Linked DNA regions of Macaca mulatta. The protein of the gene in region 1 binds, or shares a complex with, the protein of each later gene. Links are inferred from orthologs where the notes say so. Each region holds a gene or a part of one and is shown in the gene's direction. Other genes may lie near its edges. The genes, in order: TFDP2, E2F2, E2F6, E2F4, RBL2, LIN9 and RBL1.

Region 1 (3,710 bases):
ATATTAATTTGACATATTAATATCATGTGACTGTATCTTAACCCTTAATTATCACTCAATGAAAATGTTTTTTAGCAGGCTTACGATCAGAAAAACATTAGGCGAAGAGTTTATGATGCTTTAAATGTGCTAATGGCAATGAACATAATTTCAAAGGAAAAAAAAGAAATCAAGTGGATTGGCCTGCCTACCAATTCTGCTCAGGAATGTCAGAATCTGGAGGTAAGTGAGAAAATCTGTTTATGAATAGCTTTTTGTATTATTTTACATCAGAGGCATTTTAATTTAAAAATGTAATTGTAATATAAAATATTTCCAATTTTTCATGTATACTATGTCATTTTTTAACAGACTGTAGAATTTTAGAATTGGAAGGTGCCTTATAGGTATAGTCTACAGTTTAATTTGTAAATGATGAAACTGAGGGATATAAAAGTTAAATAACAGTTTGATTTTACTGTTTCTTAGAGAAGATTTTTATTTCATTCTAAGTTAATTCTGAGCACTCTACTAATAAACTTTTGGTGAAATGGTATCTTATTTGATAAGATGCTTGCTGTATGTATCCAAAAAAAAAAAAAAAGGATCAAGCTGGCTGTTGATTTCCTTTATTGGTTACACAATATTCTGAATATAGCTGTGAAAGTCAGACTTTTGCATTTGACTTTAGAAATAATAGCAACAGAATGAATAGTGTTTCGTTTGTGTCTTTACCAGAATGAATAGAATTTTGGAATTATGTATGCAGAAGCATTTTAAGTTCTGTTAACTTTAAGCATTATAGAAAATTCTTTCTACATGAGCATGTTCCCTGACATACTGTTTCTAAATTGACATGACATAATTTTACTACCATGACCATAAATGGAATAAACTGAGGTTAAATACGGCTTTGGGGCCAGGCGCAGTGGCTCACGCCTATAATCCCAGCACTTTGGGAGGCCAAGGTGGGTGGATCACCTGAGGTCAGGAGTTCAAGCAGCCTGGCCAAAATGGTGAAACCCCATCTCTACTAAAAATACAAAAATTAGCCAGTGGCGGACGCCTGTGATCCCAGCCACTGGGAAGGCTGAGGCAGGAGAATCCTTTGAACCCGGGAGGCAGAGGTTACAGTGAACCAAGATGATGCCATTGCACTCCAGTCTAGGCGATAAGAGCAAGACTCCATCTTTAAAAAAATGTATATATATATATGTGTGTGTGTGTGTATATACATATAGCTTTGGGAGATAATTAAGATTGGTTTTCTGTTTTTCTCAGTCTTTTTTCTCCCCAGCAATTCAGTTATTTGGTATTATTATACTTATGGATGGAGAGAGAAACCAGATATTCATCAGAAGCTATATAATATTTTTCATATGCTACAGTGGAAATATCCTCCTTTTCTCGTTTTTCTTCCTTCTGATAGAGTGGAATTTGAGCATCATTTTCATGAGTAATATTGAGCTTATACTAAAGACTTACTAAGCAAAAAAACCTATTCACATCTACCTTGTGCTTAATCACAGGTTATACAAGGCAAATCTCTGAACCCAAGGAACTGTCATTCTAACTGGGGAGAAGAGAAATGTAAAAGAGTTAACCAAAAATGTGATTACTCCTATGAAAGAAATGTACAGATTCTCTGCAAAGAGGGATGGGGGAGGGCTTTACCAAGGAGATAATCCCAGAGCTCAGGCATGAGGTGGGAGTAGTTTGCCAAGTGGATACGGGTGGGGAGGGCCTTCCAGGCAGAGGCGCTGCATGGGCTGAGACAGGCGTGAGAAAGCTTGCCTGGAGCTGGGTGTGGCTAGGGAACAGGCATTTAGAAAGATGGATAGATATCTAAGTGTTAAGCAGTGGGGACCTGATCCTGTAAACAAAGGGAAGCAGTTGATAAATTACAAAGAGAAGGGTTGATAGGATGTTTTTTGAAGGATCACTCTGCCAGTGGGTTGGAAGTAAAATTAACAGGTAGGGAAGGAAATGGAATGGAGGAGGGGGATTAGAGATGGTCTGAGTTAACAGCAGTGGCCATGAGATTGGAGAGGTGTTATAGAGGTAGAATCGGTGTGGCTTGACCTAGTTGGATGAGGGACAGATAAGGGGCCTTGCTTGTCAGAGCTTCTGATAAAGGGATGCTCCTACAACATCTTTTCCAATGTAGAACGCCACACAGATTTTACGTGAATCTTAAGTAATTTAAAAGTAAAACGTGGTGGATAGAGGAATCATGAATGGAAACTCCCTAGTATAAACTAGACTGGATGCGGAGCAAGTAAGAGATAATCTGCTGAAGCAGAAAAGAAAAATGTCTTATTTGATGATCGAAAGACAAAATTGTAACAAATTTAAAGATCTTAATTGTCTTTTATTTGTGATTCTAGAATCTGGCAATACCTCACTAGTAAGTAGAATGAGTGTTCCTATAAGCTGAGCAGAAGAGGTTGAACATTATTCAGTGTTTTAAAGATAGAGAAGCAGCAAAGGCAGATAGAGGCAGAAACAGATGAAAAAGCAGACTGGACATTTCAATGTCACTTTCCTTGTAAGGGTAAAACAGAGAAGACTCTCTTATGCCAGCTGCAACTGGCCTGTTTGGGTAGTTTACTATTCTGTCTTTCTCTCCTGATTTCCTAGGTCAGATAAACAACTTAGTTTTGGCCTGGTGGCATGGAACTTCAGCATGAGTGACTCCATTTTAGTTTGGTCTGTTGGGGCCTAGTGCAGGAGCTCAGTCCAAACCAATGGGCTCCTGTAAATTTTCTTTCTTTTTTTTTTTTTTGTTTTGAGTTGGAGTTTTGCTCTGTCACCCAGGCTGGAGTTCAATGGCACGATCTTTGTCAGCTCCTGCAACCTCCACCTCCCAGGTTCAAGCAATTCTCCTGCCTCAGCCTCCCAAGTAGATGGGATTACTGGTGCCTGCCACTATGCCTGGCTAATTTTTTTTTTTTTTTTTTTTTTTTTTTAGTAGAGACAAAGTTTCACTTTATGGGCCAGGCTGGTCTCTTGGCCAGGCTGCTCTCGAACTCCTGACCTCGTGATCCGCCCACCTTGGCCTCCCAAAGTACTGGGATTACAGGCGTGAGCCACCACTCCCGGCCATAAATTTTCTTAATAGATGTCTTTGGCTTTTGCCCAAGGAGACAGTGAGGAACTCAACTGCAAGGAAGTTCAGACCCTAAGTCTGTTTTCTTTAAGTAGTTATCAGATTGAGAAAAAAAAAGCAGTGGTTTGAAGCTGGAAAATTTGTCCAATAAGCATGTTTCTTTTTTTTTTTTTTTTTTTTTTTGAGACAGGGTCTTGCTTTGTTGCCCAGGCTGGAGTGCAGTGGCGTGATCTCGGCTCACTGCAACCTCCACCTCCCGAGTTCAAGCAATTCTTGTGTCTCAGCCTCCCAATTAGCTGGGACTATAGGCGCGCGCCACTACACACGGCTTTTGTATTTTTTGTAGAGACGGGGTTTCGCCATGTTGGCCAGGCTGGTCTCAAACTCCTGATCTCAAGTGATTCTCCCACCTTGGCCTCCCAAAGTGCTGGGATTACAGGCGTGAGCCACTACGCCCAGCCTACCATGATGTGTGAGATATCTGTATGATCAGCTGTCCTCATTGAAGAGTCAGCTAAACTGAAATTGTAAATAAGATCTTGCCTTATTCTCAGAGGAGTAATATAACAAAGTAATTAATAATAGAGTCCCTGTAGCCAGAGGGTTTAGGTTCAAATCTTGA
Region 2 (4,227 bases), on another chromosome or scaffold:
TCTCAGGAGATTTCCTCATGATCCTATGAGGTAAGTGCTATTAGGATGAGAAAATCAAGGATCAAGGATCAGAGAATTTACAAAATTTGCCTAGGTCACACAACGAATAAAGTGTCTGGGCCTGGGTTTGAACTCAGGGCTGTTGGCCACACAGCCTGGGCTCTTAATCATCATGGGTTATTGCCACCTTGTCCTCAACCATCTAATGAGGAAATAAGCTGTGGACTGTCTCTGGAGGGTTTTGAATGCCAAGGCTCAGACTTGCATAAAAATCACACAGCACCAGGCAAGAATCAGACCTGGAATGTAGCAGCAGCTTCTAGCAGCTTTACCACTCACTACCAAAGGTTGCTTCTCTGAGTCTCTCTAAACTGGAGTGGTGAGGAATATATTATCAGCAATGAAGATTTTTGAATGAGGCAGGGAGGCTCTTGTGACAAAAGGATTGTTTAAAAGAAACCTGGAGATGTTCAAACATTTACTGAGTGTTGGGTCCTAAGAATACAACTGTGAATAAGACAAAGCTCTGCAGTGGGCCTCTGACCCTGCTGTGCCGGCAGGCAGCTTGGGAGGGTAGAAGAACCCCTTAACTGGAAAAACAAGGGCTCCAGAGCTGGGACCTGTCCCAGATTCCATTGCCAGCTCTCAAATCAGGGAATCTCTCTGTATGACCTTGGGCAAGTTACCCAGCCTTTCAGACTGTCAGTCTTTATCATGGGGATCATCATTCCTCTTCCCAGGATTGTTGGAATAAATTAAAACAACCCTTGTAAGGATCTAGCATGGTGCTTGGCATCCTGCAGGCGCTGAATAGATGTTAGTTTTCCCTATAAAGAAGTAGACTAGTTTGCCTCCATCCCTCACCCCTCTGCCATTAAAGGGAACAAGTTCCTGGCCTTCATTTTAGCAGGAAAGGGGATATGAATGCACATGTGCTAGCTAAGCAACAATGCAAACTAACAAAAGGGCCTGTGGCCTGGGGAATACACTGCTGAGTCTGGGCTCAGGTCGGGACCCGGCGCCAAAATGTTTCCCTTCAACCCCAGGGAATCCGGGCCCATTTCTCGGGGCGCTGTGCTCTGTTCTGGCCGCCTCTGCACTGTGCATCCCAGAACCACCCTGTCTCCGTCTCGCCGGCTGCTAGCTAGTGCGTCCAGCGGCGGGCGGCACCGACAGCAGGTGTGGCTGCCCCTTTAAGCAGCGAAGCTCGTGTTGCAATCGCCGCCTCGAGGACTGGTTCTTTCCGGGGGGTGGAGCCTGTACTCTTGCAGCAGCCAACGGGAGCGCGGCATTTTCCGCGGGAGATCCGAATTTCGCGGCACGCCGTTTGGCGCTTAAAAAAAAAAAAAAAAAAAGAAAAAAGAAAAAAAAAGAGGCAGAGAAAGACTCAGGGACTAGAGAGCGGGCCGCAAGGAAGTCGGTGCAGTCGAGACCCCCTTCCCCGTCCCAGCGCATCGCGTCTCCACGGAGCTCGCGGGCACGCCGGGGACTCCTCCCCAGAGCCGGCCGGACCCCAGGTGCCGAGGCCTTGGGGGGCGCGGGGCGTCCCGGGTCGCGGTGCCCTCGGGGCGGGACAGCCCCTGGCAGTGCCACCACCGCAACCGCCGGTCGATCTCCAAGTGGCGATCTCCAAGCGCTGCTCTGCTCGGCTGCGGGCCAGGAGGGGAGGGTCCGGCCTTGCCCCGCAGACGTCCATTGGTGGCTTCCCCCGGCCTCCGCGCCATGCCGCGGGCCGTGTGAGCGGCTGCAGCACCGGAACCCGCAGGTGTCGGCGGGCGCGCCAGGCCCGTTTGGGTAGGGGGCGCCTTACTCGCTATGCTGCAAGGGCCCCGGGCCTTGGTTTCGGCCGCTGGGCAGCCCCCGAAGGTGGTGCCCGCGATGAGCCCCACAGAGCTGTGGCCATCCGGCCTCAGCAGCCCCCAGCTCTGCCCAGCTACTACCACCTACTACACGCCGCTGTACCCGCAGACGGCGCCTCCCGCAGTGGCGCCCGGCACCTGCCTCGATGCCACTCCCCACGGACCCGAGGGCCAAGTTGTTCGATGCCTGCCGGCAGGCCGGCTGCCGGTAATGCTGGGGCCCCCACCGCTTCCCCCTATGCTTTTCCAGGTGTGGGAAAGGAGGGAGGGGTGCCTGAGATCCAGTTTGAGTGGAGCAGGTAGAGTTTTGGGAAGAGGGAAGATGAGCTTTCAGTTTCCAGGACCCAGTGCCCCCAATATCTGAGTAGAAGACCCCTTCATTTTCAGACTTTGGATGAAGTAATCTCATCCATTCTAGTGGAGTGGAATGAGCACTGGATTGCGAGTCTGGAGGGAGACCCAACCCACTACTCCCAGTGCACTGTGTGACCTTGGGGAAGCCCATGCAGCCAAAGTTGCCGCCATTCATTCATTACTTCATTGTTTGGCCAGAAACCAGCACTGGGTGCCTGCTATTGTCCAGGCAAAGAGCATGCCTGGGGACACTGTGGGACTTTGGTAAGACAGAGGGATAGGTCTAGTGAGTCTCTCAGGTTCAATCTGCCATGGACAGACTCCAAATTGTCCAGCCAACTCCTGGTATAGCCCCAAGTATCTGCCCTTGGTCCTCCCCAAGGCCCAATCTTCCCTCCCAGGCAGCCTGTAGCAGATAGAAATGTGGGCAGCCCCCTGGGTTCTGTTCAGATTGGCTGCTCTCTCCTTAAGCTCCCAGGCTCGTTGCCAGAGATGGCCCAAAGTGTAGTGGCACCAGGCTGCCTGCCGACCTGGGCTCAGGGTGTGTTTTGTGGGAGTGGAATTCCTGGAGCCCATGTGAATCAAAACAACTTTAGGGTGGGGGGTGGAATGGGAAAAGCCCGGGGAAGTGGGGGTGGTGGTGGTTGAGGAGCCTGGTTTCTGGTGTGACTGCCATTAATTTTCTGTGTGTCCTTGGACAAGTCTTGGCCCCAGTCTGGGCCTCAGTGTCCTCTCCTTGACAATGCGTGTGTGCACAGGGTGGCTGTGGGGCTAGCTCTTCTCTGCCACATTCGACTCCAGGTCCTGGGTTTTGGAAGCCGGCTCCAGGGAGAGGATTGGGGTGTTATAGGTTTGCTTAGTTGTGGGTGTGGTGAATAAGTTCAGTACAGGGATAAGACCACCCCCCACTGCCCCAGAGGCATCTGGTCAGACCTGTGCTAGTCAGCAGGCACGGATGCCCAGCCAGCTCTGGATGCAGGCAGAGCCACTACTCCCTGCCAGTGGACTCAGGCTTTGCCCATGTTCAAAACGTTAACCTTCCCGGAGACCCTTCCTGCACATGATTTCTAACTAGGAGGGCAGTGGGCAGGAATGGTATTGTCCCCATATTACAGGTTAAGCAACCGAGGATAACTGGGATTGGTGATCTTGTGGTCAGCGTTTTATAGCCCAAAACATCTTTGTAGTTTGTGAAATAGATGGCATTAGTAGCTCCATGTTACAGGGGGAAAACAGGCTCAGAGAGGGGATGTGACCTAAGGTCAGAGATGGGGATGGGATAGAGTGATGGGACTCACAAGGCAGTAGGCTCTTCTCTGTTTTATTTTTTGCAGAGACAGGGGTCTCCCTATGTTCCCCAGGCTGGTCTCAAACTCTTGGGCTCAAGCGATCCTCTTGCCTCGGCCTCCCAAAGTGCTGGGATTACAGGCATGAGCTACTGCACCTGGTCAGGCAGTAGGCTCTTCTCTATGTAGCCTTGACTTTCTTTATTACTGCCTGACTTAGGAGCTGAGTACCCCCCGGGGAAGGGAACTTTGCAGCAGGCCCACTCTCCTCTGGCCAGCTGCTTTCACACTGGAATTTTCAGTAACAGCTGTGGTTTTCCACTGCTTTGAACCCTCCCAGAGGAGCCCAAGTGCATCTTGTCTGTACCTCCCTCCCAGAGGGGCTCAGTGATCTTAGCAAGAAGGTCTCTTTTTTACTGAGTGCCTCTCGTGTGCCAGACACTGCTTGGCACTCTTCACGTTCATTATCTTGGTCAAGATGTTCAGAATGAGGCATCTTGCAGATAAGGAAACTGAGCAAAGAAAGGAAGTCACTTGCCTGGGTCACAAGCAAAGAAGCAGGAGAGTCTCCTTGCAGCAGACCACCCTAAATGCCTGCCAGGCCCAGAGTTCCCACTCCTGTCATCCCCAGATGCCCGGGGCCCAGCCCCGTGGGCAGGCCTGCCCTCTGCTTACTCATTTTACAAGGGTGTGACCTGGAGCAGCTCCAAACCCAACCCTGGGTGTGG
Region 3 (4,219 bases), on another chromosome or scaffold:
TTAGCCGGGCATAGTGGCATGCACCAGTACTCTTAGCTACGTGGGAGTCTTAACTGGGAGACCACTTGAGACCAGGAGTTTGATGCTACAGTGAATTATGACCATGCCACTGCCCTCCAGCCTGGGTAATGGGGAAAAAAAAAGATTAGAGACCTCTGACATCATAGTCTAGTGGGGAGCCAGCTTCTTCAGGGATTTCTCCCTACCTCACCTCGCCCACCTCAGGCTGTGTAGAAACCCCCAGTCTAACCGGTTGTTTCCCTCCAACTCTGTACACACCACGGTGTGTTACCTTTTTATTTCAAACATGTGCTGGCCTCTGTTCTAATCACAGCAACCTGTATCCATTAATCCATTTAATCCTCACAACAACCTTATCAGGTAAGTATTGTCATTATTCGCATTTTCCAAATAAGGAAACTGAGGCACAGGCAGATTAAGTAACTGGCTTAATAAGGTCTTCTGGTTTATAAGTAGGAGCCAGGATTTGAAAACACACCTCTGGCTCCAGCTTAATTAACATGCTCTGTTTACTTATCTGTCCCCACTGAAATTGGAGGTTGAACCTGTGGCATATCCAAATGAGTAAGTATCGCCTGTGCTCACCCCAATATCTGACACTATAGGTCCACGATAACTCATTCATCAAACAGGAAGGAGGGAGGAAGGAAGGAAGGAAGGAAGGCAGGAAGGAAGGAAGGCAGGAAGGAAGGAAAGAAGGCAGGCAGGCAGAAGTAAAACGATACCACAATGGTTTGGTTGCTCACATTTACTAAGCATCAACACTGACCCGCCTGTAAGATGTGCTAACAGAGCTCAGGAATAAATGAAGGCCGGGCGTGGTAGCTCATGCCTATAATCCCAGCACTTGGGAGGCCAAGGTGGGAGGATGGCTTGAGCCCCAGAGTTCAAGACCAGTCGGTGCAATATACTGAGACTCTGCCTCTACTAAAATTAAAATTAAAAATTAGCCGGGCGCAGTGGCGCGCGCCTGTAGTCCCAGCTACTTGGGAGGCTGAGGTGGGAGGATCGCTTGAGCCTAAGAATTCGAGGCTGCAGTGAGCCCTGACCACGCCACTGCACTCCAGCCTGGGCGACAAAAAAAAAAAAAATTAAAATTAAAAAAAGGAATAAATGAACATCTTTGCGGCTGAGAGCTTTCAGTTATCACCGTCGAGAATTCCAGGCGAGCGCTGCGTTTTCCCAGCTGCCTGTTTTCTCTCACCCCCGTTCCCTTCCTCTGGAATCCGGCTCCACCTCTTCCTTTTCCTTTGCCAGCCTCTCCGTGGATTCCGCGGTCCGGGTTTCCCGGGCGCCAGCCGCCGGGAGAGGATCAGTGCGTGGGAGCGCTCCGGCCGCGGCGGGCATGCGCAGAGGGGGGCGGTACACTGCGCATGCGGAAAAATGGCGGGCCGGGCTACTTGAGAGCCGCGGGTTTACCTCCTCCTTTCCCGTCTTCGTCGGGAGTTCCCGGGCACGTGAGGCAGTGCCGCGTTTGCTGGCGGGTGGGACGGCCTAGCCGGGCGGGGCCTTGGAGGACGCCGCGGATCCGTCAGTTTCTGGGCCCTTGGAAATCGGCGCGTGGGGGGCGGTGATCGAGCTGCGCGCGAGAGGGCGGGAGAGCTCGCGGGGTGCGAGGGGAGCGGGACGCCCGGCCGGGCAGCATGAGTCAGCAGCGGCCGGCGAGGAAGTTGCCCAGTCTCCTCCTGGACCCCGCGGAGGAGACGGTTCGCCGTCGGTGCCGAGACCCCATCAACGTGGAGGGACTGCTGGTAAGCTCCGGGACGGGAGGGGGACGGGCGGGGGTCTCCCAAAGCTGGCCCCCTCCTCCCCGCGCCGCCGCCAACCCCGCTGGCCGTCGTCTCGGTCGTCTGCTCCCCCTGGGCCAGGCGCTGCCCATCACGTGCTGCGAAACTGCGCTCTCCCGCCTTCTGCTTTCAGCATCTGTTCACAGACGTGGTGTCAGTCTTCTGGACTTTTACATCGGAACTTCAGGGCACTGTTGGAGAAAATTGCTCAACTTTGCATTGGAAAGGCCATGTTTTTCTCCTTCAGTGGACTCTAGCTGTATCTCTGCAACCTATCATTTGTTCTTCTACCTTCTCTCTCTTCTGCTCTACTGCAGCCGTTTAAAACCTTGTCCACGCTTTATATTTACCACGCCACAGCTCCCATTCATAAAATTATCTCCCCACCTGTTTGACGGAGAAAATGGTTAGGAGATTTGGCTCCCTTTCCCACAAAGACTGATTTCTTCTACTCTTGTTCTGGACCAGATACTGTATTCCCCGGTTCTCAAGGTCCTTAACAAATGCGTTCTTTTCCATTCCTCCCGTATTTTCTTTTTCTTTTTTTGAGATGGAGTTTTTACTCTTGTTCCCCAGGCTGGAGTGCAATGGCACGATCTCAGCTCACTGCAACCGCCGCCTCCCAGGTTCAAGCGATTCTTCTGCTTCAGCCTCCCATGTAGCTGGGATCACAGTCATGCGCCACCACACCCAGCTAATTTTGTATTTATAGTAGAGACGGGATTTCACCGTGTTGGCCAAGCTGGTCTCGAACTCCTGACGACCTCAGGTGATCCACCCGCCTCGGCCTCCCAAAGTGATGGGATTACAAGGCGTGAGCCACCGAGCCCGGCCTCTCCCCATATTTTCAATTTCTCTGCTGCTTTCTTCCTATAACTAGTAGTAATTAAACATTTTCCCAAGTCATTATGCCTGGTCCCCATACCAAATAGTTTGTGATTATTGTCTCATTTAATTTCTCACAGCAGTGTTTTATAATAGTAAAAGACTATTATTCTTGTTTTACGGTTGCCAAAACAGACCTGGAGATGCATGTAATGCCGGCTTGCCTGTGGCTAGATAGTAAGTGGAGAAACTTGGGTTGAACCTCCAAATGTCTAACTCCAGATGATAAATTCTTGACTACTAAAACCACATTCTCAATCCATCCCCATCTTAAAAGATCCCTCCCTTAATTCCATATCCCTTGCCATCTACTGTCTCTCTTCCCCTTCACAGCTAAACTTCTTGAAAAAGTTATTTACACTCACTCTTTCCACTTGATCGTCTCATTATCAGCCAACCCACTGCTGGGGACCCCTATCCTCAGCACACTTGTGAGACCATTCTAACCAGGGTCACCGACAATCTCGTCAATTCCAGCAGCTGTTGTAGTTTTGACACAAAACTACTTGTGTTGGAAACTCTCCCTTGAGTTTCCTTGACATTGATGTTCCATCTGCTTCTCTGGGCTCTCCTTGTCCTCATCCTCTTCCCAGTCCTTCATTTTTTTTTCCCCCGAGACAGGATCTCACTCTGTCACCCTGGCTGGAGTGCAGTGGCACATCCTGGCTCACTGCAGCCTTGACCTCCCAGGCTCAAGTGATTCTTCTGCCTCCACCTCTCTAGTAGCTGGGACCACAGGCACATGCCACAAGGCCTGGCTAATTTTTTTATTTTTAGATATGGAAGTCTTCCTGCGTGGCCCAGGCTGGTCTTGAACTCCTGGGCTCAAGCTGTCCTCTCACCTCAGTTTCCCAAAGTGCTGGGATTACAGGTGTGAGCCACCGTGGCTGGCCACATGTTGATGATATTCAGGGTTCTCTTCTGCTGTCTCTACACATTCTTCTTAGGGGAGTTCATTCTCTCCTCCCATGACTTATGTTACCGTCTACATTTGATCCTTGAACGACTCAGGGTTTGGGGCACCAAATCACATGAAATTCAAAATCTGAATATAACTTTGATTCCCCCAAAACTTTACTGTTTCCTGGAAGCCTTACTGATACTGTAAACAGTTGATTAACACATATTTTGTATTTACATGTATTAGTTAGTGTATTCTTATAATAAAGTAGCTAAAGAAAACGTTATTAAGAAAATCATAAATAAGAGAAAGTCCTACTCATTCAGGGGAATTAGATGATCGTAAAGGTCTTCATCCTTGTCTTCACACTGAGTAGGCTGATGAAGAGGAGTAAGAGGAGGAGTTGGTTTTGCTCTCTAAGTTGTGGCAGGGGGTAAAGAAAATTGGCATCTAAGTGGACCCACACAGTTCAAACCTGTGTTGTTTGAGGATCAGCTGTATATTGGTACCATCTGTATTGGTCGTCTTAATATTTGAGAATTTGATAAAAACTCTAAGCTCACTGTGGAAAAACCACTTAGTTTGCATGCAATATCAGCAGATACATCGCTTGAAATCTTAGACA
Region 4 (4,373 bases), on another chromosome or scaffold:
CAGGGTCTCGATCTGTCACCAAGGCTGGAGTACAGTGGCACCATCATAGCTCACGGCAGCCTTCTGGGCTCAAGTGATCTGCCTGCCTCAGCCTCCCAAAGTGTTGGGATTACAGGCGTGAGTCACCGCAACTGGGCAGCTGTGTTTATCTTGAGAGTTATAGGGAGCCAGGGAAGGGACTATAAGGTGGTAATAATTTAGTGGATGTTCAGTCCACCACCCAAATCCACCCTTCAGGACAGAAGTGCTCATTCTCCAGCTGCCAGGAGTGTAGGCTGCTGAGATCAATATTGGGGTGCAAAAGCATGGTACCATCACGTGAACATAAACTCTTCAGAAGTGCTACCCCAATTTCAGAGATCCTAGTGGCATAGGCTGAGGCCTATAATATAATTGCATCTGCCCGATTCTGCTTGTCTTACTCCCTTAAAGGTGTGGATCCTGACCAGGTGTGATGGCTCACGCTGTCATCCCAGCATTGGGATGAGGTCTGAGGATCGCTTGAGCCTATGAGTTCGAGACTAGCCTGGACAATATAGTGAGACTCTCATCTCTACAAAAACTAAAAATAAATGAGCCAGGCATGGTGTGTGCATGCCTGTGGTCCCAGCTACTTGGGAGGCTGAGGTGGGAGAATCGCTTGGGCCCAGGAAGCTGAGATGGCATTGATCTTGCCACTGCACTCCAGCCTGGGCAACAGAGTGAGATCCTGTCTCAAAAAAAAAAAAAAAAAAAAGAAGTGTGGATCCCCAACAAACTTGCTGCAAAACCCTGTCTCGAGTCCCATTTCCCATAGAACCTGACCTAAAAGAAACAATAATAAATAGTAACAATGTTACAAGTAACAAAATGACCCTAGCAAACTTTCCTACATGCCAGAAATGACTCTGAGTGCTTTACTGATATATACACATAGGTAAATACGTTTGCATTGGCTGAAGTGTATATAACCCCATAGTCTCTGAGCACTGTAGCGGGAGGACAAGATGAGCGAAAGATGAGGCTAGGACCATGGATGGAGAGAGGTGGACAAGGTAGATATAGTTAGTGCTTGCTGTTTGGCAGGAAGTGAGGGACAGGAATAGATGGGGTGACCCCAAGACAGTAGGGGAACCTTTAGGAACATTTTTGATGTGGCAGTAAAATGAGTTTGAAATATAAAAGAATAAATAAAGAGAAAAAAATTTAAAAGGAACTGATTTGAGGGAACAGATTGGATTAGTCAGGTAGTGTGGTCTTGTCTCCCGAGATGGGGACTGGGCAGAGTTAGTGATGTTGGGGCAGATTGGCAAGGAAAGTTCCGATGGCATCCCTTTCTCTACTGCCAGGGCTGCCCACTGACGCCCTCCTCATTCCTCCCTAACTTCATCCCAACTCCCGGTCTACCCAGGTAGTTTTCGTCTTATTCGGCGGCTGGACATTTGCTAATGGTCCCTGAAGTTTTGCGGTTGCACCCACAGACAGCAATAGCGCCGCGTTCCCTGGAAGACGCACGGGGCGGAAGCGGAAGCAGCAACGCTGGCTCCGGCTGCCGGACGGCCAGGAACGGAAGCGGAAGTGGCGGCGGCGCCGGCCTGGCCTGGCCTGGCTGAGGGGAGGCGGCGGGCGGACGCGATGGCGGAGGCCGGGCCGCAGGCGCCGCCGCCCCCGGGCACTCCAAGCCGGCACGAAAAGAGCCTGGGACTACTCACCACCAAGTTCGTGTCTCTTCTGCAGGAGGCCAAGGACGGCGTGCTTGACCTCAAGCTGGTGCGGCCCGGGCTAAGGGGCGACAAGGGAGGATGGTGGACCAGGCCTGGGCCGGTAGCGGGAACCCCGGGGGCGGCCCAGCTGGGTCCTCCGAGAGCCGGCCGCCATCGTGTGCTTTCTCACAGGAGAGAAGCCGGGGAATGTTTCATTCATTCGGCCGAGGCCATTGAGCTACAGCTATGGGCCAGGCTCGGGGCTCCAGGTGTTCGTCCTCGTGGCCCTTCCTGGCTGGCGAGGAGAAGAGCTGCCTATGGGACAGAGCTGCGGGCCTGAGCTGCAGTAGCGCCTGGCAGGCACTACAGGGTTGGAATCCAGGTTACTCCCTTCCCAGACCACGTCTCAGGGTGGCTGGGGGTACACCCGAGAGTGGGGCTGAGCATTCTCCACTCTGTCTGCCAGGCAGCTGACACCCTAGCTGTACGCCAGAAGCGGCGGATTTACGACATTACCAATGTTTTGGAAGGTATCGGGCTGATCGAGAAAAAGTCCAAGAACAGCATCCAGTGGAAGTGAGTGGGGATAGTGGGAGGGTAGTAGAGTCTCCCACCCAGAAGTGTCGGGGGTGGGGTGGAGGGTGCCAAAGAAGGCAGGGGCCGTGGGACCCAGAGTTCTCAGCAGTCCCTCTCAGCCCCACTCCCTGGGCTCAGGGGTGTGGGGCCTGGCTGCAATACCCGGGAGATTGCCGACAAGCTGATTGAGCTCAAGGCAGAGATCGAGGAGCTGCAGCAGCGGGAGCAAGAACTAGACCAGCACAAGGTGTGGGTGCAGCAGAGCATCCGGAACGTCACAGAGGACGTGCAGAACAGCTGATATCCTCCTGGCGTTCCCTCCTGGGGGGAGTGGGCAAGGGGCCCTCTGGTTCAACTTGCCCTGGGCAAGCTCCCTGTTCCTCTTGGGAGCTTGTCCTGTGGCCCCTGGCCATGGCCCAGCCTCAGGCTCCCTCCTCAGAGCCTCTCCCCTTCCAGTCTTAGCCTGTGATCCCTCCCCCAGTGGACCTGAGTCCCCAGAACTTTCTCTGAGGGGCCTCTGTGTCAGACCTTGGCTAAAGAATTGGGTCTTTTTTGTAGTCTGCCATCTGTCACCATAGGGCATCGGCCATTCTCCTTAACCCTCACACTTTGGCCTACGTCACTCATGAGGACATCTGCAGATGCTTTGCTGGTGAGCAGAGCCTGGGTAGGGGTGAGGGGGTGGGCTGGGCTCAACCAAATCCCTGAGCACTGGGTTCAGTGTCTCAGGAGAGTTCCGTCTCTTAAGAGGGTTTCTGGGGCCTGCTCAGAGAGGAACCAGGCAGGGTAAGTCTTCTGTCTGAGTGTCACTGGGACCCTGTGGAGGTCAGCTATACCAAGAGGGTACAGGAATTCTGGAGTGGGTTCCTGGGTCTGTTCCCAACTGTACTGTTTCCTGGATTTGGCTTCTTGAGTATGATAGAGGTACAAGGGGGAGAAAGGGAGAGAGGATATGTGTGTATTTGCTTGTGTGCAGGCTCTTACATGCAGGGCATGGGGGTGCCCACCTCCAACTTGTTAGTTTAATTGCATTGTGAATGCAGGATATGTTCCTTTTTTTTCTTTCCTTTTTTTTTTTTTTTAAAAAGAGACAGGGTCTTGCTATGTTGCCAGGCTGGTCTTGAACTCCTGAGCTCAAGCTGTCTTCCCCGCTCAACCCCCTAAAGTGCTGGGATTATAAGTGTGAGCCACTGTGCCCCGCTGATGTGTTTCTTCTCCATCATGTATCCTCCTGACTGGTCATGGGAAAGGGATGTTGGCCTTGGCTAGAATACCTTCACCTAGGGAACAGCCATCGGTGGAAGAGTGAGGTGCCTGTGGCCAGTGATATTTGACTCCACATACTTGAACCCAGATTTCCTGGTTACTGACTCTGGGCTCTCAGGAAGAGAAGAGCTTTAGCTCTGCCCAGCCACTATGGGGAATGGGTGAGGTCCACTGTCTAGTCCCTCAGAGACCATGATCTCCTGCCTTGCTCCAAAAGACAGGCACCTCTGTTCCCAGCTCAGATTGAGCCCATGGGCTCTGACCCATTCTCCATGTCATTCTAGGAGATACCCTCTTGGCCATCCGGGCCCCATCAGGCACCAGCCTGGAGGTGCCCATCCCAGAGGTGGGTGCTTAGCCCAGGCAGGCGGGGTCAGCTGAGGGCGGGTGCTGGCTGTGGAGACTGATAAGTCCCGGGTGGGGCAGGTAGGGGAGGCCTGGAGTTTGGGGTTATCTAGGAGGATGGGCATCCTGGGTGGGAGAGGACACTGGTCCTGACAGAGTCGGGCAGGAGCCAAGCCTGCTTCCAATTCTACCCATCTCCCATCCCTTACCACCCATCTCTAGGGTCTCAATGGGCAGAAGAAGTACCAGATTCACCTGAAGAGTGTGAGTGGTCCCATTGAGGTTCTGCTGGTGAACAAGGAGGCATGGAGCTCACCCCCTGTGGCTGTGCCTGTGCCACCACCTGAAGATCTGCTCCAGAACCCACCTGCTGTTTCCACGCCTCCACCTCTGCCGAAGCCTGCCCTAGCCCAGTCCCAATCCCAGGAAGCCTCACGTCCAAATAGTCCTCAGCTCACTCCCACTCCTGTCCCCGGCAGCGCAGAAGTCCAGGGAATGGCTGGC
Region 5 (3,710 bases), on another chromosome or scaffold:
AGATGAGTTTATCCTACTTGCAAGTTACTGAATGTCCTGGAGATGTAATTTAATAAATTTGGGAAGTTTTCAGTATTTCTTTGAACATTTTTTTCTGCTTCTTTCTCTCCTCTCCTGATTCTCCCATTACACTTATGTTGATTTCCTTAATGCTGTGCCACATTTCTCTGAGGCTGTTTATTTTTCTTCATTCTTTCTCTGTTCTCAGATCACACCATCTCTTCACGTTTGCTAATCTTTTTGGTTTTTTTGCTACTTCAAATCTATTTTCCCTAGCTTCTAGTGAATTTTTCATTTCAGTTACTGTAATTTTCTACTCCAAGTCTTTTTTTTTGAGATGAGTCTTGCTCTGTTGCCCAGACTGTACAGTGGCTCAATCTCAGCTCACTGCAACCTCCGTCTCTCGGGTTCAAGTGATTCTCCTGTCTCAGCCTCCCTAGTAGCTGGGATTACAGGCACATGCCACCATGCCTGGCTAATTTTTGAATTTTTAGTAGATACTGGGTTTCACCATGATGGCCAGGCTGAACTCCTGACTTCAAGTGAGCCACCCTCCTCGGCCTCCCAAAGTGCTGGAATTACAGGTGTGAACCACCGCAGCGGCCTCTAAGTCTTGATTCACATATTATTCTTAATGAATTTTAATAGATATTCTTGAATCGATGTATCTTCATTTGCTATATGCCTTTAATACCATTTCCAGAGACTTTAAATAGCTTTTATATAATTTTCACCCCTTTTACTGGGCAGCAGGTTCACACAGCTCCTCACACTATTATGGTGGAAGTTGTTGTATCTCTCAGAGCACTCTTATTGTTTGCCAGGTCACAAAAGAAGATAAGTCCTTCCAGAATATTATGCGTTGTTATAGGACTCAGCCACAGGCCCGGAGCCAGGTAACTACATTTTCTCTATGAGCTGAAAATAACGCTTAAAGTCTGTGATGAATACAAAAAATTAACCATAGTTGACTCTGTGGCCTTTTTTTCCAAGATAAACACCTGGGACTCTACTTAAGGGAAATTTCTGCTTTAATCTTCTTTATTCTTGATGTCACATGTTGATTAAGTTCTCTTTTCCTCAGAAGGCAACAATGTTAAATATTTGATTGCCTTCTCAATTCAGAAAAATCACAAGATAGATTGGAATTAAGAAGTTACTTGGTTTCTATGTCACCATTCTGGTTTAGTAAACATACTGTACGTTTAACCAAGAGAATGTCACATGGAAATTTAAAACCCACTTTGCCTTTATTACGATTCGTCTCTGAGAGGCAAATTGGCAGATCTGTGTATCTGACTTAGAATGACTTGACTTTATGGTTGGGTGCTGTTACCGCAGCGTGGTACTGCAAGTAGTACTTGGCATGTGAAGCTAGATGGGCTCTGATTGAATCTTAGATCTGTTATAATTTGAGTTATGTTTCTTAACCTCTTCTGAGGACAACTATTGCTACACAGATTATTGTGAAAAGTAACATATGTCAAGGTCCTATCACCAAGGGTGTGCTCAACAAATACTAGTTTACATCCCCTTCTCATTATTTCTCTAAAGGTGTATAGAAGTGTTTTGATAAAAGGGAAAAGAAAAAGACGAAATTCCGGCAGCAGTGATAGCAGAAGCCATCAGAATTCTCCAACAGAACTAAACAAAGATAGAAGTAAGTGGGATCTTTGTGAACTACAAGACAAAATTAGGAGCTTTTCTTACTTTTTAGGACTTGAAGTAACCATTACTAAATGAAATAACTATAGAAACTATGAAAGTGTATAAACAAAGGGTTTAATGGATCAGTAAACCAAATTCTGGGTGGCAAAACTGTCCATTCCATAGCTTTGGGGCACATATTCTATAACATTTTTCTCCAGGAGAATTAGAGCTTTCAGTGAGGAATCTGCTTGCCTGAGTTTCAGAAAGGACTGACATGTCAGTTGGAGCCATGCTATGGAAATACCATCCCCTACCTGTTGGTTTGTCCTAGGGCTTAGGTCCTAGAAAACTTGGTGTAGCTTATTAATACTACTCAGAAAGCCCTTGCTATGGTTATGGCATAGGGATATCAAGTTAAAATCCTAGCTGAGCTTTGCCTTTTGGTGTGAAGAACAGAATGCCTATTCACTGTTATTAGCAAGTAATGCAGGTAGCTGTTCCCTTTCTCCTACTTTTTAAAAATTAAAACAATCTATACTAGCAGCTTTTGTATTGACACCCTGTGTTCTCCTGGAAGCAGCCAGTAGAGACTCCAGTCCAGTCATGAGGTCAAGCAGCACCTTGCCAGTTCCACAGCCCAGCAGTGCTCCTCCTACACCTACTCGCCTCACAGGTGCCAACAGTGACATGGAAGAAGAAGAGAGGGGAGACCTCATTCAGTTCTACAACAACATCTACATCAAACAGATTAAGACATTTGCCATGAAGTACTCCCAGGCAAATGTAGTAAGTATTACAGGGATCATTTCATGCTTTTTTCATGAGTATTGAGGAATTATTTATGATTTATATATGGACCATTCACCTGGTCCATATATAAACTAGTTTTGGCCAAGCGTGGTGGCTAACACCTGTAATCCCAGCACTTTGGGAGGCTGAAGCGGGCAGATCAGTGGAGGTCAGAAGTTCGAGACCAGCCTGGCCAACGTGGTAAATAAAACCCAGTCTCCACTAAAAATACAAAAATGAGCCAGGCGTGGTAGAACACATGTGTAATCCCAGCTACTCTGGGGGCTAAGGCAGGAGAATTGTTTGAACATGGGAGGTAGAGGTTGCAGTGAGCTGAGATTGCGCCACTGCACTCCAGCCTGGGCGACAGAACGAGACTCTGTCTCATAAATAAATAAGCTAGTTTTACAAATAATTCTATTAAGTAAAACTGAGGAGGTCTGTAATTTACCTAACCAACATAAGTTCTGTTGTTAAGCATTAAACAAGAATAAGATTGTATTTGGAGTCCCTACAAAGTATAGTAGTACAAGAGACAGGCTACATGGGTTCAAATTGTCTAGTACGTAACAGTAGTGGTAACCTTGCAAATCATTAAATTTTCTCTGTACCTTGTTTCCTCATATATATAAAACATGGGAATATAACTAGTTCTTAGCATATGGAGTTGTAAGGATGAAATGACATAATGTATAAAAATTGCTTAAAATAATAACTGGCACAAACTAAGCACTTAAGGTTTGCTATTAGAATGTTTTTCTTTAGGTTAAATTAGTGCTAATATATCACTCTTATCATTCTCAGTAAAAATACCTCATTATAAATTTCTTAGAGTTACTGATTTTTTTTTTTTAACAGATGGATGCTCCTCCACTCTCTCCCTATCCATTTGTAAGAACAGGCTCCCCTCGCCGAATACAGTTGTCTCAAAATCATCCTGTCTACATTTCCCCACATAAAAATGAAACAATGCTTTCTCCTCGAGAAAAGATTTTCTATTACTTCAGCAACAGTCCTTCAAAGGTGAGCCTAACATCAATCTTGGCCTTTACTAACCCCAAAATGCTTCAGATGCTAGAAAGAGGGTTTGTGCTAAGCCTAGGCACTCATTAGAGTGATGAGAGCTACCAGGGAGCAGTGATCAGTCAGTTCCCATGCAGCAAAACCCAGGATTTGTTGTTTTTTTGCTTTTCTTGAGGGTGGAATTTTAGGGTTGGAAACAGGGTAAGGGATTTGGATTTCTTTTTATCCCCTCTCCTATTTATACATTT
Region 6 (3,710 bases), on another chromosome or scaffold:
GCTGTAGTGAGCAATGTTTGCACCACTGCACTTCAGCCTAAGTGACGGAGAGAGACCCTGTCTCAAAAGAACAAACAAAACCAAAACACACACACACATGCACAAAATTGGTTTAACATGACTTTATACTATGTTTTAATGCCTGTTAAGATATTATCACATATTTTTTTTTTAAGATTTTTTTCCTTTTTTTTTTTTTGACACGGAGTCTCACTCTGTCGCCCAGGCTGGAGTGCAGTGGTGTAATCTCTGCTCATTGCAACCTCCGCCTCCCAGGTTCAAGCTGTTCTTCTGCCTCAGCCTCCCGAGTAGCTGGGACTACAGGCACAGCCACCACGCCTGGCTAATTTTTGTATTTTTGGTAGAGATAGGGTTTCACTGTATTGGCCAGGCTGTCTCAAACTCCTGACCTTGTGATTCACCTGCCTTGGCCTCCCAAAGTACTGGGATTACAGGTGTGAGCCACCGCACCTGGCCTAAGATTTTTTCCTAAATATTTTTGTGCATTTATTTTTCCATGTAGACTTTAGAATCAACTTGACTAGGGAAAAAAATGGCCTGTTGGCATTTTGACTGGGGTTGGACTAATATTATAAATTAATTTATGAGAAATGACATATCTATAGGTAACATTGAGACTACCTAAGAACTGATTGTAGTTGCACTTAGTTCTTAGTATTCCACAGACTTTAACATTTTTTTCCATATCAGTCTTGCATGTTTCTTAAGTATATTTCTACATATTTAATATTTTTTGTTTATGTCAATTTTTTTCGCTATGATAAACAGGATATAAACTCTAATGACCTGTCCAGTTATTATTTATATATAGAAAAGATAGTGATTTTTTTGAATTGTGGTTTTTGTATATCAACTTTGTATTTACCCATTTCATTAAATTTTCTTACTGTTTTTAATTGTTACAGTGGATTTTCTTGTGTTTTCAGCTACAAGAAAATGGTAGTTTTATCTTCTTTCTAAATTTTATTATTCTTACCTGATTGGCCAACTCCTTCAAAACAGTGTTATGAAATAGCAGTCGTAGTTGAAATCTTTGTCATACTAGGTTAGTGGTGGTAGTTGAAATATTTGTCATTCTGATTGTCTTTTAATATTATGATACTGGTTTTTGGGTTGGAGTGGAGAGAAATGTTTTACTAGATTAAAAAAGTATCCATCTAAGCCGGGCGCTGTGGCTCACACCTGTAATCCAGCACTTTGGGAAGCTGAGGCAGGCAGATTACCTGAGATCAGGAGTTCGAGACCAGCCTGGCCAACATGGTGAAACCCGGTCTCTACTAAAAATACAAAAATTAGCTGGGTGTGGTGGTGCACGCCTGTAGTCCCAGCTACTCGGGAGACTGAGGCAGAATTGCATGAACCCGGGAGGCAGAGGTGCAGTGAGCCAAGATTATGCCACTGCACTACAGCCTGGACGACAGAGCAAGACTCTGTCTCAAAAAAACAAAACAAAACAGCAATAATCAAAAATAATCAGAGTGTTTAAAACAGCAACAAAAATTCCATGTTGAATATTGGTGAATCTTTTTGAGTACTTAAACATAATTTACCTTTTGCAAATTTTTTCAGGGTTATAAATGTTCATTTTTACTTAATGGAGCTATAAATTAATCTCTCTCTCTCTTTTTTTTTTATTGTATAGAAATTTACAGCAACAATGTCAACACCAGATAAGAAAGCTTCACAGAAGATTGGTTTTCGATTACGTAATCTGCTCAAGCTTCCTAAAGCACATAAATGGTGTATATACGAGTGGTTCTATTCAAATATAGATAAGTATGTATCATGGCTTATATTATGAATATTACTTGAATCGTAAATTTAAGTTTTTCAAGTGTTTTAAACTACAACATTTTCTATAGGTCTATTTTGATCTTATTTTTCCCTGAATTCATTTTTCTATTCCACATTCCAGTTGGATTTATTCTGTTTGTTATAGTTTTCTTCCCCATTATCCTTGTTGGGGAAGAAAACTATACATTTTTGTGAAGAATTGATTAGAGTATAATTTCTGTGTTATAATTTTTAAAGACTATGGAGTAGAGATACCTTAAAACACCATTATTTGCAATGAATGAGATTCATTTTATAATTGAGATGTTAAGTGTTGGTATAATCATAGAGAAACCATTACTAATGGTAAAAATGGCTTAAGATTTTTAGGAGGGTAGTCTTTCTAGTTTGGATATGGTACTTAAGCACATTAGGTATACACATATGCTTAAGTATAACATAGTATGAGATTTGACTGAAATACAGTTATTCAACAATGGAATTTACTGAGGAAAAGTTCTTATTTATAATCCTTCCTCATATGCCAGTCATTGCTGCTTGCTCTGCTGGATATTTATGTTTACTTCCCTTCTCTGTTTTCTATACCAGTTGCCTACTCTGGAGCTTGTGAATCTCATGAATGTTCATATGTGAGCCCAAGGCATTGATGTATCATTGCCAACACTGGTTCCTGGTTTCCCAGACTCATGAATAGAATTGTTTTATTTTTGTCCATAGGCTTAAGAGAGTTTTCAGGGTGTCTCAGTGTGATCTGAGTTCTTCTGGGATTCCCCCAAGCTAATCTAACCCTCTAGAGTCCTCCAGTGTCCCAAGACTGGTTTAATTCAAGAGAGGACTCCTTGGTGATGGTATTCCTTTGGGACAAAGATACTTTGTAGCTGCCTTGGTTTATCTTCACCTGATATAAGGCCAGGGCCAGGATAGCCTCCCAAAGGATATATCTGTATAAGAAATTGAACAAAAATCAGTGTCTTTTAGAATCACAACACAAATAATATTTCTTGAACAACTTTTACACATTAGATGTTTCACAAATGCCAAGGATTTAGTTTTAGCACTTTGAATTTGTGCCAGTTTTTATGTATATGGGGTAGAAATGAAAGTTTAGCATTTTGTGATTTTATGTGTTTTAAGAAAGTAACACATTGTATGTAACCATTAAAATACGATTTCTGTTTTACAGACCGCTTTTTGAAGGTGATAATGACTTCTGTGTATGTCTAAAGGAATCTTTTCCTAATTTGAAAACAAGAAAGTTAACCAGAGTAGAATGGGGAAAAATTAGGCGGCTTATGGGAAAACCACGGAGGTAAAAATAATGTTTTTGTTTTTGTTTAAAATAAATTCAAGCTAGGAGCAGTGCATGTACTTATAATCCCAGTTACTTGGAAGGCTAAGATGGGGTATTTGCTTAAGGCCAGGGGTTCAGGGCTGTAGTATGCTGTGATTACACCTGTGAATAGTCACTACACTCCAGCCTGGGCAACACAGTGAGAACCTTCCTCTAAAAAGAATTAAAAAATAAAATCAGTAAAAGTTGTTAGTATCATTACTACATTGATTTTTTTTAATCTTTGAAATGACTAGTACCAAAACATAACTTTTCAGAATAATTATGTATTAAATATATCCTGTTAACCAACTTTAATGTAGGTGCTGTTTATGCTTATGTATCTTATAATTAAATGCACAATTTCATTTTTGTTAGGATCACAGGTTTTGAACATAATTTTTTTGTTTTACGTTACCTATGTCCCTCTGTGTTCCAAAAAATACTTGAGTGTCCTAAAAAGTATTTAAGGATACTGTAAAGTTCTGTGTACATTTTTGTTATCTTTTGTGAAATCCTTTATCATCTCAGGAGCCTTCCCAGAAATGCCTATTTTACTTTATAT
Region 7 (4,184 bases), on another chromosome or scaffold:
TCCGCAGCTGCTGGCCCGGGTGCTAAGCCCCTCACTGCCCTGGGCCGGCGGCGCCAGCTGGCCGCTCCGTGTGCGGGGCCCGCCGATCCCCAGCCCGCGCCCGCTGGAACTTACACTGGCCCGCGAGCCCCGGGCGCAGCCCCGGTTCCCACCCGCACCTCTCCCTCCACACCTCCCTGCAAGCAGAGGGAGGCGGCTCCGGCCTCAGCCAGCCCAGAGAGGGGCTCCCACGGTGCCATGGCGGGCTGAAGGGCTCCTCAGGCGCCGCCAGAGTGGACGCTGAGGCCGAGGAGGCGCTGAGAGTGAGGGCTGCTAGCACATTGTCACCTCTCACAACCATTCAGAGGCTGGAGTGAAGTTACAAAGTTGCAAATGAAGACTGGAAGGCGCTCAGTGTGGTTTCTTGTGGATGGTCAATTTCCCATCTGCCATGCATGAAAGGTCCAAGGGAATAACCTCTGGTTCTTTTGTTACTTAGGCGTGGAAAGTTGGGGTTTTCCTTTCAATTTAGTTCTAGGAAGTCACGTGAAACAGCCATAGGTTCCCTGCCTCCAGACCCTATTCTCCTGCCTCATTACTGCAGTCTTCTCTGCCCGCGTCTTTTAGCGACTAACATAAGATGAGGATCCAACTTCTAATATCCCTCACCAGTCCTTCCCCTCCGTCATTTAGCGAACCGCTCACTGGGCACTGGGACTTTGGGGAGAGTCCCAGGAGGCCCCTCTTCGTCCAGGGGCTATTTTTTTTCTCTTCCAGCCTCCATCTCCTAACTCAAGGGGTACAGCTCAGTCAGATTATGTTTGGCGCCCCGGGACAGTGACAAACCCAGGGCCCGTGGATAGAGGAGGCATCTCACTACGCTGCACGAGGCCACCTCGCAGTAGGCAGCCCAGGCCTGCCCAAAAACCCAGGAGCCTAACCAGGAAGACAGGGGGAGGCCGCGGGCTTCATCTCCCAGGAGATGGACTACATCTCCCAGCAGGCTCTGCGCGCAGGCTGAGGATCCCTCCGCTCTTTTTTTTGTCCCGCCGGCTCGGCCCCCCGCGACCAGCCAAGGGCTAAGGCCAGGTATTTCAGAATCTGAGGTCCGTATTCTTATCACATTTCTGGGGAGGGACGGCTAGGAGCTCCGGAGGAAAAACGGACTTTTTTTTGAGGAGAAAAGCGGAGGCAGACGGTACAGACGAAGCACCCCCGCAACTGCAAGTTTTCGCGCGCTTTGGCGCAGGTGGTTGTGGGTAGCGCGCCTGGGAGGGAGAAAGAAGTCGGGGGCCGTGGCGCGCCGCCCGCGGGGCCTGAAGGGATGTTCGAGGACGAGTCCCACGCTGAGGGGGTGGCGGTGGTCGCCGCAGCCGGGGAGGCGCTACAGGCCCTGTGCCAGGAGCTGAACCTGGACGAGGGGAGCGCGGCCGAAGCCCTGGACGACTTTACTGCCATCCGAGGCAACTACAGCCTAGAGGTGAGCGGCAGCAGGTAGGGCGGCCGGACCCTACCCTCGCCAGGCCCCACCCCTGCCCCGCCCCTTCCCCGGCCTATGGGGTGGTGGGAGTTTCCCCATCTAGGAGGGTCGCTGCGCAGCCAGGCGCCGAGGGGCGGGAAGGGTGGATGTTGCTCAACCAATCCGCCCATCATTTTGAGGCGGGAAACTGAAGCCCAGGAAAGGAGCGGCCTAGGCCCTGCGCCACTCAAACCCCGGTCTTCCTGACCACACTTTACCCCGCTAAGCGCCACAAACGTCATGGTGGTGCCCTTAAATCGGTAAGAACAAATATAATGGTAAAGTGAAAATGAACTGCCTACCGAGACACCACTGGCCAGAGCTTTAAATGGACCCTCTCAGTTCCGTCTGAACCCCTTCTGTGATCCCCGTTCCACGCAAGAGGAAGCGGAACCCCAGACAGGTTAAGCTACAGGCCCAAGGTCACGCGGTTAGAGATGGAGCCAGACCCAGGGTCTGAGCCGTTTAACCTCCACCCTCTGCTTCATCAGGGTGGAGCTGCTGGTTGCTGTGCAGCGGTTTGATCAAAGCCAGTGTGCATACGAAGCTGATCTCAGCCCTGCGTTTCCTCCTCTGTCAGAGCATCGTCCTGATGCTTTGCATCAGCGTCTAGCTCTGAATAAAACAAATGTCAGTTATAATTACTCGATTTTTTTCCCCATCATTCTTGCATTTTATCTTCATAACAGCCCTGTGAACGTGGCATGGCAATGAGTATTAGACCTGCTTTCCAGGTGATAATGGCAAGGCTCAGAAGGTTGTCTTGCCCAGGGTTATTCTAATACAGAAACCCAGGCTGGGCGTGGTGGCTCACGCCTGTAATCCCAGCACTTTGGGAGGCCAAGGCGGGCGGATCATTTGAGGCCAGGAGTTTGAGACCAACCTGGGCAACATGGCGAAACCCCGTCTCTACTAAAAACTACAAAAATTAGCTGGGTGTGTTGGCGCCTGCCTGTAATCCCAGCTACTTGGAAGGCTGAGGCAGGAGAATTGCTTGAACCCAGGAGGCATAAGCTGCAGTGAGCAGAGATCACACCACTGCACTCCAGCCTGGGCGACAGAGCAAGACTCTATCTAAAGAGAGCAAGATGAGTATAAGCCTGATGGAGTGTATTTCATGTAGCACTCCACTGGCCCCATGTTCAAAGGCTTTCATGTGCCAAGGGCGCTGGACCAACTCCCAGGGTGCACCACTGACTCACCACCCAGTGAAATAATTGCTGGGTTCAAAGGCATAGAGTTGGATGTATATTGACTGTGTGCCTATATATGAAGGAAAAGTACCTGAAAAAGTCTTCCAGACTGGATAGACTGGGTAAAGGACAATGGTCCACATCCGTGGGTGGCATGACTGGAAAGCTGTGAGAAGAATAAGAAAGTAAGGGAGATTAGCCAGAGACGGTGGCTCATGCTTGTAATCCCAGCTCTTTGGGAGGCCAAGGCGGGCAGATCACGAGGTCAGGAGATTGAGACCATCCTGGCTAACACAGTGAAACCCCATCTCTACTGAAAATACAAAGAATTAGCCGGGCATGGTGGCGGGCACCTGTAGTCCCAGCTACTCCTGTCTCCTGAGACAGGAGAATGGCCTGAACCCGGGAGGCGGGGCTTGCAGTGAGCCGAGATGGCACGACTGCACTCCAGCCTGGGCCACAGAGTGAGACTCTGTCTCAAAAAAAAAAAAAAAAAGAAAAAAAAAAAAAGACAGATTAGAATGAATGGCCTCTCAATTGAAAACAGATTGATTTTTGAAAGCCTGAAAAAGCATTTCTGACATCCTAGTCTCATTTGGTCTCTCTTGCCCAAGGTCACACCATCTGTCATTGAATAAGTATTTACTGTGTCAAAACGGTCAAGGCGTGCACCTGTTTCAGATTCTTGAATATGACAAGCTTTTTCCCAGTTTTGTGGTATATCCGTGCCGTTCCCTCTGCCTGGAATCTTTCCCATCACCCCCAACACCAGGAAAGGTTGAGAGCTAAATCTCTAATTAGGCAGAGTTGAATAGGACAACTTCAATGTTTGCTTTATTTATTTATTTATTGTTTTTTTTTTTTCTTTCTTTCTTTTTTTCTTCCTTAGAAACAGGGTCTTGGCTGGGCACACGGTGGCTCACGTCTGTAATCGCAGCACTTTGGGAGGCCGAAGTGGGCAGATCTTCTTAGGTCCAAGACCAGCCTGGCCAGCATGGTGAAACCCCGTCTCTACTAAAAATGTAAAATTAGCCGGGCATGGTGACATGCGCCTGTAATTCCAGCTACTGGGGAGGCTGAGGCAGGAGAATCACTTGAACCTGGGAGGTAGAGGTTGCAGTGAGACGAGATTGCGCCATTGCACTCCACCCTGCACAACAAGAGTAAAACTCCGTCACAAAAAAAAAAAAAAAGAAAGAAAGAAAAGAAAAGAAACAGAGTCTTGCTCTTTTGACCAGGCCTGGAATGCAGTGGTGCAATTGTAGCTCACTGTAAACTCAAACTCCTAGGCTCAAGTGATCTTCCTGCTTCAGCCTCCCCAGTAGCTGGGACTACAGGCATACGCCACCGTGCTCAGCTAATTTTTCAATTTTTTATGGAGATAGTATCTGACTATGTTGCCCAAGCTGGTCTTGAACTGGCCTCAAGTGATTCTTGTGCTGCAGCCTCCCAGAGCATTGGGATTACAGGCATGAGCCACCGTGCCCAGCCCA

The links.
Region 2: TFDP2 (region 1) and E2F2 share a complex: the UniProt entries of both Homo sapiens proteins name them as parts of the DRTF1/E2F transcription factor complex. The link is inferred for Macaca mulatta from reciprocal best matches to the Homo sapiens genes TFDP2 and E2F2.
Region 3: TFDP2 (region 1) and E2F6 share a complex: the UniProt entries of both Homo sapiens proteins name them as parts of the DRTF1/E2F transcription factor complex. The link is inferred for Macaca mulatta from reciprocal best matches to the Homo sapiens genes TFDP2 and E2F6.
Region 4: TFDP2 (region 1) and E2F4 share a complex: the UniProt entries of both Homo sapiens proteins name them as parts of the DRTF1/E2F transcription factor complex. The link is inferred for Macaca mulatta from reciprocal best matches to the Homo sapiens genes TFDP2 and E2F4.
Region 5: TFDP2 (region 1) and RBL2 share a complex: the UniProt entries of both Homo sapiens proteins name them as parts of the DREAM complex. The link is inferred for Macaca mulatta from reciprocal best matches to the Homo sapiens genes TFDP2 and RBL2.
Region 6: TFDP2 (region 1) and LIN9 share a complex: the UniProt entries of both Homo sapiens proteins name them as parts of the DREAM complex. The link is inferred for Macaca mulatta from reciprocal best matches to the Homo sapiens genes TFDP2 and LIN9.
Region 7: TFDP2 (region 1) and RBL1 share a complex: the UniProt entries of both Homo sapiens proteins name them as parts of the DREAM complex. The link is inferred for Macaca mulatta from reciprocal best matches to the Homo sapiens genes TFDP2 and RBL1.

What each region holds. Positions count from the first base shown.
Region 1 is NC_133407.1:44,949,042-44,952,751, reverse strand, and holds part of TFDP2 (transcription factor Dp-2), read left to right. Parts: intron 1-75; coding exon of another isoform or gene 76-78; coding exon 79-222; intron 223-3,710. UniProt on the Homo sapiens protein: Can stimulate E2F-dependent transcription.
Region 2 is NC_133406.1:217,472,103-217,476,329, forward strand, and holds the start of E2F2 (transcription factor E2F2), read left to right. Parts: upstream 1-1,343; 5' UTR 1,344-1,815; coding exon 1,816-2,067; intron 2,068-4,227. UniProt on the Homo sapiens protein: Transcription activator that binds DNA cooperatively with DP proteins through the E2 recognition site, 5'-TTTC[CG]CGC-3' found in the promoter region of a number of genes whose products are involved in cell cycle regulation or in DNA replication.
Region 3 is NC_133418.1:113,370,491-113,374,709, forward strand, and holds the start of E2F6 (transcription factor E2F6), read left to right. Parts: upstream 1-1,406; 5' UTR 1,407-1,664; coding exon 1,665-1,772; intron 1,773-4,219. UniProt on the Homo sapiens protein: Inhibitor of E2F-dependent transcription. Binds DNA cooperatively with DP proteins through the E2 recognition site, 5'-TTTC[CG]CGC-3'. Has a preference for the 5'-TTTCCCGC-3' E2F recognition site.
Region 4 is NC_133425.1:62,733,779-62,738,151, forward strand, and holds the start of E2F4 (transcription factor E2F4), read left to right. Parts: upstream 1-1,573; 5' UTR 1,574-1,614; coding exon 1,615-1,749; intron 1,750-1,874; exon of another isoform or gene 1,875-1,928; coding exon of another isoform or gene 1,929-2,064; intron 2,065-2,148; coding exon 2,149-2,258; intron 2,259-2,396; coding exon 2,397-2,558; intron 2,559-2,866; coding exon 2,867-2,910; intron 2,911-3,808; coding exon 3,809-3,870; intron 3,871-4,091; coding exon 4,092-4,373. UniProt on the Homo sapiens protein: Transcription activator that binds DNA cooperatively with DP proteins through the E2 recognition site, 5'-TTTC[CG]CGC-3' found in the promoter region of a number of genes whose products are involved in cell cycle regulation or in DNA replication.
Region 5 is NC_133425.1:48,962,377-48,966,086, forward strand, and holds part of RBL2 (retinoblastoma-like protein 2), read left to right. Parts: intron 1-824; coding exon 825-896; intron 897-1,554; coding exon 1,555-1,660; intron 1,661-2,227; coding exon 2,228-2,436; intron 2,437-3,297; coding exon 3,298-3,462; intron 3,463-3,710. UniProt on the Homo sapiens protein: Key regulator of entry into cell division. Directly involved in heterochromatin formation by maintaining overall chromatin structure and, in particular, that of constitutive heterochromatin by stabilizing histone methylation.
Region 6 is NC_133406.1:84,044,365-84,048,074, reverse strand, and holds part of LIN9 (protein lin-9 homolog), read left to right. Parts: intron 1-1,663; coding exon 1,664-1,797; intron 1,798-2,998; coding exon 2,999-3,124; intron 3,125-3,710. UniProt on the Homo sapiens protein: Acts as a tumor suppressor. Inhibits DNA synthesis. Its ability to inhibit oncogenic transformation is mediated through its association with RB1. Plays a role in the expression of genes required for the G1/S transition.
Region 7 is NC_133415.1:89,949,256-89,953,439, reverse strand, and holds the start of RBL1 (retinoblastoma-like protein 1), read left to right. Parts: upstream 1-1,231; 5' UTR 1,232-1,303; coding exon 1,304-1,459; exon of another isoform or gene 1,460-1,473; intron 1,474-4,184. UniProt on the Homo sapiens protein: Key regulator of entry into cell division. Directly involved in heterochromatin formation by maintaining overall chromatin structure and, in particular, that of constitutive heterochromatin by stabilizing histone methylation.